Linked DNA regions of Schizosaccharomyces pombe. Changing the gene in region 1 together with any one later gene gives a genetic interaction. Each region holds a gene or a part of one and is shown in the gene's direction. Other genes may lie near its edges.

The links.
Region 2: of hri2 (region 1) and cmk2, a mutation in one rescues a mutant of the other (synthetic rescue), as found in Schizosaccharomyces pombe (one study listed by BioGRID).

What each region holds. Positions count from the first base shown.
Region 1 is NC_003424.3:953,752-958,542, reverse strand, and holds hri2 (eIF2 alpha kinase Hri2), read left to right. Parts: upstream 1-1,932; 5' UTR 1,933-2,068; coding exon 2,069-2,183; exon of another isoform or gene 2,184-2,270; coding exon 2,271-2,309; exon of another isoform or gene 2,310-2,358; coding exon 2,359-2,893; intron 2,894-2,957; coding exon 2,958-4,188; 3' UTR 4,189-4,264; downstream 4,265-4,791. Other genes in the region: sno1 (glutamine aminotransferase subunit), read left to right, coding at 193-897; nuclear HMG-like acidic protein Mak16, read right to left, coding at 4,469-4,791. UniProt on the Schizosaccharomyces pombe protein: Mediates down-regulation of protein synthesis in response to stress conditions by the phosphorylation of the alpha subunit of eIF-2 (tif211) on 'Ser-52'. Protein synthesis is inhibited at the level of initiation. Activity is inhibited in the presence of heme.
Region 2 is NC_003424.3:4,089,294-4,093,904, reverse strand, and holds cmk2 (MAPK-activated protein kinase Cmk2), read left to right. Parts: upstream 1-1,805; 5' UTR 1,806-1,825; coding exon 1,826-1,840; intron 1,841-1,880; coding exon 1,881-2,083; intron 2,084-2,148; coding exon 2,149-2,245; intron 2,246-2,547; coding exon 2,548-3,747; 3' UTR 3,748-4,111; downstream 4,112-4,611. Other genes in the region: rpl3401 (60S ribosomal protein L34), read left to right, coding at 138-476; rnf170 (ubiquitin-protein ligase E3), read right to left, coding at 821-1,576. UniProt on the Schizosaccharomyces pombe protein: Has a role in the regulation of G2/M transition during the mitotic cell cycle.

The sequences.
Region 1 (4,791 bases):
GACAACACAATCCTTTAATACCCATCTTCAACGGTTTGAGTGATTCATTGCTGATTAGTAAGGGGTGTATCAATCTTCATCAGCATCTACTTGTTCAATAGGTTTCAGGATATCTTTCGTTTGTTTTTCTTAGTTCTTTCAAACTTTCTTTGTTTTTTTATTCGTTTCTAGTCGATTAAAAACTTTAAAAAAATGTCTTCTGCATCCATGTTCGGGAGTCTTAAAACCAATGCTGTGGACGAATCCCAGTTGAAGGCTAGAATTGGAGTTTTAGCTCTCCAAGGAGCATTTATTGAACACATTAATATAATGAATTCCATTGATGGAGTAATTTCTTTTCCTGTTAAAACTGCTAAGGATTGCGAAAATATTGATGGCTTAATTATCCCAGGAGGTGAGTCTACTACCATTGGCAAATTAATCAACATTGATGAGAAGCTTCGTGATCGTTTGGAGCACTTGGTTGATCAAGGACTTCCTATTTGGGGAACGTGTGCTGGTATGATTCTTCTGTCGAAAAAGTCTCGAGGTGGAAAGTTCCCAGATCCTTATTTGTTGCGCGCCATGGATATTGAAGTGACTCGTAATTATTTTGGACCTCAAACTATGTCTTTTACAACTGATATTACAGTTACAGAGTCAATGCAATTTGAAGCCACTGAACCTTTACATTCCTTTTCGGCCACTTTTATTCGTGCTCCAGTCGCTTCGACAATCCTGTCTGATGATATTAATGTTTTAGCTACTATTGTTCATGAAGGCAACAAAGAGATTGTTGCGGTTGAGCAAGGTCCCTTTTTAGGTACATCGTTTCACCCCGAGCTGACCGCCGATAATAGATGGCATGAATGGTGGGTAAAAGAGCGTGTTTTACCTTTAAAGGAGAAAAAGGATTAGTTTTTTAAATTCATGCCTATAGTTGCATGTTGTATAATCCCACAAAAAGAGTTGAGACAGGTAAATGCCTCACTTATTATTTTAGTCAGTCATTAAGTTTTAAATAATAAATCCTTTTAGATTAATTTTTTAGATTTTAAGTGTTAATTGTTATTTGCTTTCAATCTTTTCTAGGTTCATTTGCGCTGCATAAGTTGCTGTCATTTCCATTGCTAAAAGCATATAGTTTGAATACATTATCAGTTAATCAAATGTTTATAAAAAATGCGCATTATTTTGGGTAATATAGATACACATTCCATAGAAAATTTAACCGAAGATTAAATTTTAGTACACTGGAATTATTCAGTAAGTGATAAATCAAAAATCAAAATTAAGAAAAAATAAAAAACTCCGTTGCGGGGAGTCGAACCCCGACCGCGTCGGTGAAAGCGACGAATCCTAGCCGTTGGACCACAACGGATTCCATGTGCTCTTTACTACTTAGTATAATTTAATATAAAAATTAAAGAATTGTTTATGAATGTGAAATGATAAATTAAATTGTGTCAAATCAAAATGTTTTTTCCTCACATCATGCTGGCTAATGTAATTAAATTTAATAGTTAGCTTGAAGTGCTCGTTCTCTTCAATTTTCCTTCTTACTATCTTGAGGTAAAACTAATGAATGAATTAATAATTCAAATGATTTCTGTCCACAACATTTATCTGGTAATAAAATATATCAATTCTTTAAACAAATTGGTTTTATAAATTCAGTTTCGAGCTGGATTCTTTTTGCTTTGATTTAGATTATAAATGTATCTTTGGCTTACTGTTTACGATGCTAATTTAAAAATTGACTTGCTTTTTCACGAATGAAGAAGTTCAAAAAAGAAGACTGATTATAATTACTTATCTGAATTTTTAACAGTACAAATACATACTTATCGTTAACACGACCATAGTCAGTAGAAACCATGTATTTTAGCTGTAGAGTTAAATTCTCCTAATGTTACTTTCATGATCTGAAAAGTCAACCACAAAGTTTCCATTAACAATTCTCTAACCTTCCATTGTAAGATACGAGATTAGCTGGTTGCGATTAACGGGATTTTGACAAATATTTTGATAAGTGCAGAAAAAAACTGGTTGTTTTCTTAATGCCTTTTTCACTTCCATCATCACAAATATGCGATTTTTCAACGCTCACAAGTCAGCGGAAGATGGGAATTACTCAGAGACAACAAATGCAATAAGTTTAAAAAATGAAAGACAATCAAGGGATTTGTCTGTCAATAAACATGGTAGGAATTAATTACAACTGTGTGTATAAAGCAGTTGACGAACTAAAAATATTGGTCATTGACAACCTAAGCTAATGTATTTATTAGGGCGGATGCTTTTAACTGCTTTGTTGGAAAATTTTTGTCGTATGTCTAAGCTCTCGTTTCATGTGAACTACTTGCTTACTTATTAAAGAACTGTATGACAATAATCCTGCCAAGTCCAAACGACTTTTTGCTTTAATTTGCCATACTCTTCAAAAAATAGGTATTTTGGAAGAAGAATATATTGAAGAACTTGCAGCCGTTAGATCCAATTATCAGGATGCTTTACACCATTTGATTCTGCAAGCGCGTGAGGCAATCCGTCTCGACGATGCTGAAGAGCGACTTTTAGCACTACCCGATCCCACCAATGTATTTGAAAAATTTCCACAAGAAACTGCTCTTTCGAAATTCTCTGTAGATGGATTAAATGTAAGACAGTTCCGATTCCGTGATCTTACGCTTGAGAGTTGGTTACAGTCAAGAAACTCTCGTTACATAGAGGACTTTGAGGAGTATTCTTTACTAGGAAGAGGTGGATTTGGATCAGTATATCACGTACGAAATAAGATTGACGGTGCTGAATACGCAATGAAGAAAATTAATTCAACATTTCAGCAAATGTCTTATTCCAAAATATTTAGAGAAATCAAATGTCTAGCAAAAATGGATCATCCAAATGTTATGTAAGCATCATCAGAAGGACTTGTTTTCATCGCCTTCCTTTTATTATTTCTAACATCGGCTTAGTCGATACTTTTCGAGCTGGGTAGAAAGCACCACAGAAGCAACACAAATGCCGATAGTAATGTCTAAAAATTCTAGTAGAGTACTTGGAACCTCAAGCTATTGTGATGTCAACGGAATGGACTCCATAATTTTTGAACCAACAGAATCTTCTGCCCTTACAGACGATATACTATTTGCAGAAGATCCTGGCACCGAGTCGATCATTTCAACTTCCAGAAAATCTAGCTACTCAAGCACTACTGAATCTTCTAACTTTGAGAATTTAGAAAGCCCTCGTAATCTTCATGACTCTAATGTTTCTACTTTTAATAATACCACCATCTTGGATGACGACTATTCTAGTAGCATGCACATATCTAAAACTGGACCCACTCATTCTTTTATTATTTATATTCAAATGCAGCTTTGCTTTGATGATCTAGAGTCCTATCTAATAAGAAGAAACCATTTTCTTTCATTCCCACTATGTAAGGAACAAATACAACTGCATACGGATTTATTCCGAATGATAATTAATGGCGTTATGTACGTACATGAAGGTGTGAACTTGATCCATCGAGATATCAAACCCAGCAATATATTTCTTGCTAAATCTTTACCGGAGGACCGTGGGTCTGTTCCTTTAATTAGTTATAATGATAAAAACGATTTGAAAGAATACATTACTCCTAAGATTGGTGATTTTGGACTCGTTGTTGAAAATAAAAAAAACACAGAAACCGCACTTTCTTTTCTTGAACGAAACCACTTGCCTAATCTGCAAGATGAGACTCAGCATATAGGCACTGCAACTTACGCGGCTCCGGAATTGCTAGATGCTATGTCTTCTCAGCATAATAAATTTACAAAAAAAATCGATACATTCTCATTAGGAATGGTTTTGTTTGAGCTGTTGCACCCGTTTCAAACAAATATGGAACGTGCAACAAAACTTCAAGACCTTCGTCGAGGAAATCTTCCTGAAGAGTTCGTTGAGCAACATATTTGTGAGTCAAGTTTAATTTTATGGATGACAGCCAAAGACCCCACGAAGCGACCATCACTTCTGGAAGTTCTCAATTGTGGACTATTATTACCTAACCAAGTCTCAATGCCAAATATATCAAATATTGTATCAACAAACCACTTGGATGTTGAAACTCAAATGAAACTTATAATGGATGAAAATCAGCGACTGCGTGAACAAATTGCTGTTCTACGATCCAGGATTCAACATCTTGAAACCCGCTAAACTAAAAATCTTCACTTTTTAATACTTAAATTTCCAGTCAATTTGTTCAGTTTCCCGAAAGTATAGCATTATTTATATCTAACGCTTTTATGCCACAAGTAATAAAATAAAGCAAGGATACATTAAAGCTAATTTTGTTTGTAAAAGCTCCGATAAATTCCTTATTATTAAAACCATTCATATCTATACACCTAAATAATCCAAAATAAAAACGACAAAGTAAAAACTATTGAACAGAATCCCTTAAAAAAAGATAACATTCAAAACCTTTTTTTTTTTTTTACCAAGAATGTTGAACAGCAGGTATTTTTTCATTTTCACGTTCTTGCTCATACTCAATATGAATATGAGGAGCGCGCTTCTTCCTGGATTTCTTTGCATCGTCGGTCTTACGTTTCCTGATTTTTCCTTTGTTATCCTCATCCTCATCCTCATCGGATTCAGACTCTGAGCTTTCCTCCTCTTCAGACTCTGAAGTTTCCATGGACTGATCTGAGCCGAGCCAATCTTCCAAATCAGAGATTTCTTCTTCATCTTCATCATCACTAACAAATTCTAATTCAGCTTCTTCTCGTTCCTCCTCTTCCTCGCCTTCATCAATTA
Region 2 (4,611 bases), 3.1 Mb from region 1:
ACTTATAACGAAGTACGCTACTCTGTATTTAGAAAAAAGGGTGGCCTACCGAGAGTAAAAACAGTCACACACAACACAATTTCCCAAATAGCTGAAAAGGAAACCTGCGCAGAACAAACGAAAAAAATCTAACAAAAATGGCTCAACGAGTTACCTACCGCCGTCGCCTTGCTTACAACACTCGTAGCAACAGAACCAGAATTATCAAGACTCCTGGTAACAACATTCGCTATCTTCACATCAAGAAGCTTGGCACCATTCCTCGCTGCGGTGATACTGGCGTCCCTTTGCAAGGTATTCCCGCTCTGCGTCCTCGTGAGTTTGCTCGTCTTTCACACAACAAGAAGACTGTCCAGCGTGCTTATGGCGGTTGCTTGAGTGCCAATGCCGTTAAGGATCGTATTGTTCGTGCCTTTTTGATTGAGGAACAGAAGATTGTCAAGCAAAAGCTCAAGCAATTGTCTTCTCAAAAGTAAAAAGCTGATTGACCGATTACTTTTTACTGTTCCCTAATTTACTTGGATTTCTTTAAGTGGAATAAGAATCTTTTCGGTGCAAATATTTTATTAACTTGTAGATGGTGGTATTTACAAATAATCGTATCGTAGACACAAGGCTTAATTGTAGTAAGGAAATGCAATTTTGTGAGTAAGTAAGTGCATGCTTTCATAGAGTACACTGCTATTGAATTTTGTATGGTTCTGAATAGCGCATATAATTTTATGATATTACAAGTAAATTTTTACTATCGTACTTTTCGTAGTCAACAAAATCATAAATAATATCAGTATAAGTTATTCCATTACTTATTCATCTTTGACTAACCCATTGTCTGATCAGGCAAAGCAAATCTAATTCTATGCTTGCAAATGGGGCAAGACACATTATTTACAAGTTTCAATCGAGACATAATGCAAGCATAGCAATATGTATGACCACAATCAGTAGTGTAAGGCGTAGTAATTGCTACGCGTTCATCTCCCCTTTGTACACACATCATACAGAGTCCACATTCTTGAGGAACAGTGGTTTCTGCGGAAGTTGTGTACTCCTTATACTTAATCCACAAAGAAGCAGGGATACGGGTGCAAAAGAGTGCATCTACAAACCCAACTGCTATTTGTTGAAACATTCGAAAACTTCCTAACGAGGAAGTGGAAAGTTCTTGGAATGACCCTAACTCTGGTAATGCTGTCTCTGAGATTAAATAACTCTGCAGCCCATTAATGAAAGTGTTTTTCCCTGACATGGCGGATAGCCCTTTCCAAAGACCTATAACACAAATAATCACATTCAGAAATCTAACTATTTTCCTAACATTAGCTGATAAACGCTTTCGTCCTAGTAGTGCGATTAGGGATTTGCATATAACGAGAGAATAAAGCCATTTTTTTGACTGGTATTTTAAATTTATAAATATTAATTCCAAAAAATGAAGGACAGACTCTTTGGTGGAGGGCCGTAGACCAGCTACAATGAAGCTCAGCTCATTCGTTAAACTGCGAGTTGTTTGAGTTGCAATATCTGCTTCAAGCATCAAGCTCCACCTCGAAGTCGCTAATTCCGACTCTATCATTGTGTTTATATTATTCAGTGCACCAAATATCGAATGAGAAAAAAAAATTTTTAAGTTGCGTATTACTGCTTAAATCAAGCCATTGAAAGTATTAAAGATCTAAATTGATCGTTATTAGACTAAAAATTAATCAATGTTAGAGTATTTTGATAAAAGATAGCAAATTATAGATTTTTAGGGCAATATTACTGGAATGTGGTGAGCGTTGGCGTCAGCTATGCACCTACCCACAGCGTATATCAATGCAACATGTCGATACTAGCGGTACGCATTCTTCCTTGCCACTTATACTAATAGGTCTTAGGGGTTTAAAAACTTGTTAAAGCATTCGAAAAGCTCAAAGGGGAGATCGAATGCTTCAAAGTCGGTTGATGTTAGTGTAAACAGGGACGTCGCCGCTTATACTGAGCTTGCTGCCAAAAATGTCAATGCCGGTGGGGATGAAGAAATAAGAGTCGCTAACTACCCTGGTCTTGAAAAATATCAGTTAATTGAAAATTTAGGAGAGTAAGTTATGTCCAAATTTCTTTGGCGTTTTTTATTATAGTATGATCATTTACTGACCCAAAAAGTGGTGCTTTTAGTCAAGTTTATAAGGCGTATTCCATTGATCGAAAAGAGCACGTGGCAGTTAAAGTAATAAGAAAGTATGAAATGAATAAAAAACAGGTATGTAAATTATTGAAATTAATGACTTATTTATTGAAATTTGAGAGGGATTTGGGTTTTTGGAGTCTTCATCAATTTTCAAAAGAAAGGGTTGAATAATAACGTCTCAGCATGAAGACATAGTTTTGTGGCTATACTTGGCAAACTACAAAGGCCTTGTGCAATTTTTTGACATGAATGAGAATGAGTTAGTGAAGCTAGAAATCATTATTCGCACATTGTATTATGAAGTTGTTGTTGCCCATTCCCCTTTCAAATATTCTATCAATTATTTTATTATTGTTTATCTAACTCTTTTTCAGCGGCAAGGTGTATTTAAAGAGGTTAACATTATGCGTCGTGTTAAGCACAAAAATGTGGTCAATCTTTTTGACTTTGTTGAAACAGAGGATTTTTATCACTTAGTTATGGAGCTTGCTGAAGGAGGTGAGCTGTTTCATCAAATTGTTAATTTTACCTACTTTTCTGAGAACTTGGCACGACATATAATCATTCAAGTGGCAGAAGCTGTTAAGCATCTTCATGACGTTTGTGGAATTGTTCATAGGGATATCAAACCAGAAAACTTATTATTTCAACCAATTGAATATCTCCCATCTCAAAATTACACCCCACCGAGCTTAGAACCAAATAAGCTTGATGAGGGCATGTTTCTTGAAGGTATTGGAGCGGGCGGTATTGGAAGAATACTGATTGCTGATTTTGGATTCAGCAAAGTGGTTTGGAATTCTAAAACCGCAACGCCTTGTGGAACAGTTGGTTACGCTGCTCCTGAAATTGTCAATGATGAGTTGTATTCTAAAAACGTTGATATGTGGGCGATGGGTTGTGTTCTTCATACGATGCTATGTGGGTTCCCACCATTTTTCGATGAAAATATAAAAGATTTGGCTTCTAAGGTTGTTAATGGTGAATTTGAATTTTTATCGCCTTGGTGGGATGATATTTCCGACTCTGCTAAGGATCTAATTACCCATTTACTCACTGTAGACCCTAGAGAGAGATACGATATTCACCAGTTTTTTCAGCATCCCTGGATTAAAGGAGAGTCAAAAATGCCTGAAAATTTTACGTATAAGCCCAAACTTCATGGCACGCCAGGTGGACCGAAATTATCCCTTCCACGCTCGCTCGTTTCTAAAGGTGAGATCGATATACCCACGACACCTATCAAAAGCGCTACTCACCCTCTTTTAAGTTCTTATTCGGAGCCAAAAACACCCGGTGTATCATCTGTACATGAGGCAATGGGTGTTGCTTATGATATTCGTCGCTTAAATCATTTGGGATTTTCACCTGAACAATTAAGCAAGAAGTCAATGAATACTGGCTCTATCAAAGAACTCATTTTAGATGAAGAAACTACTACCGATGATGATGACTATATCATTTCTAGCTTTCCTTTGAATGATACTTTGGGAAGTGAAGGTAAGGATCCATTTTCTTTAAATTTGAAGGAATCTTCTTTATACTCGAGGCGATCTGCTAAACGTGTTAATTGAACAAACCTTCTTTTATATCCTTCCTTTTGGCTCAAATCTAGCTTCCAGTTTACAAGCTGATGGTTAGAGTTATCTCTTTTGGCTCTTTTCATCTATCGTCATTGTTATTATTATATCATTGCTGTACACTGTGCACGACTGCTATTTATTTTTTCTAGAGTTTTTAAGTCGTTTGGCATTTATTTGTTTTCTCTAAGCGCACCGGCCACGCCAACATGATGGCCCTACATTCTTTTCTCTATGTTTAACTTTCAAGTTTTAGTTTGATTCTCTTTTTAGTGTTCTATCTTTGTTTTAGTCTTTCAATTGTTAAAGCATTAAGTTTTATTTGTTTACATTCTAGTTTCTACATTACACCTTTTCCATTTATACATTTTCAAAGTAATATAATACCATTTAAAGATGAAAATTTAATTTAACAGTAAAGTATGTATTAATATTTTCTTGGGTTAAAGGATACTTGTTTGGAGAAGAGAATTTCAAAACTATGCAGGCATTCGTAAAAAAAAAAGTAAAAATAGAATCTAAAGAATGTATACACGCAATAATTGGTATGGTACATAGCATGAGCATTTTGACGATAATGGATGTTAAATCGTCAAAAGATGAGAGAGCGGATTGGTTTGTATTATATCTTGCTAAAGGTTTTGGAACTCCGTAGCGAATCGATGATTAGAAAGGAAGTAGAAAAGACGTACCCAAAGATTCCTATAAAACACAATCCATATTGGTTTTATCTTGGCGCGGATTGCTTATTAAAAAAACTACCTAAATAGTAAAACGTATCGGAAACGAAACAATGCTGAACAACGATAATCATCCCAAAAAGAAATAAAGCATATATTAAAGTGAGCTTCTCAGTTG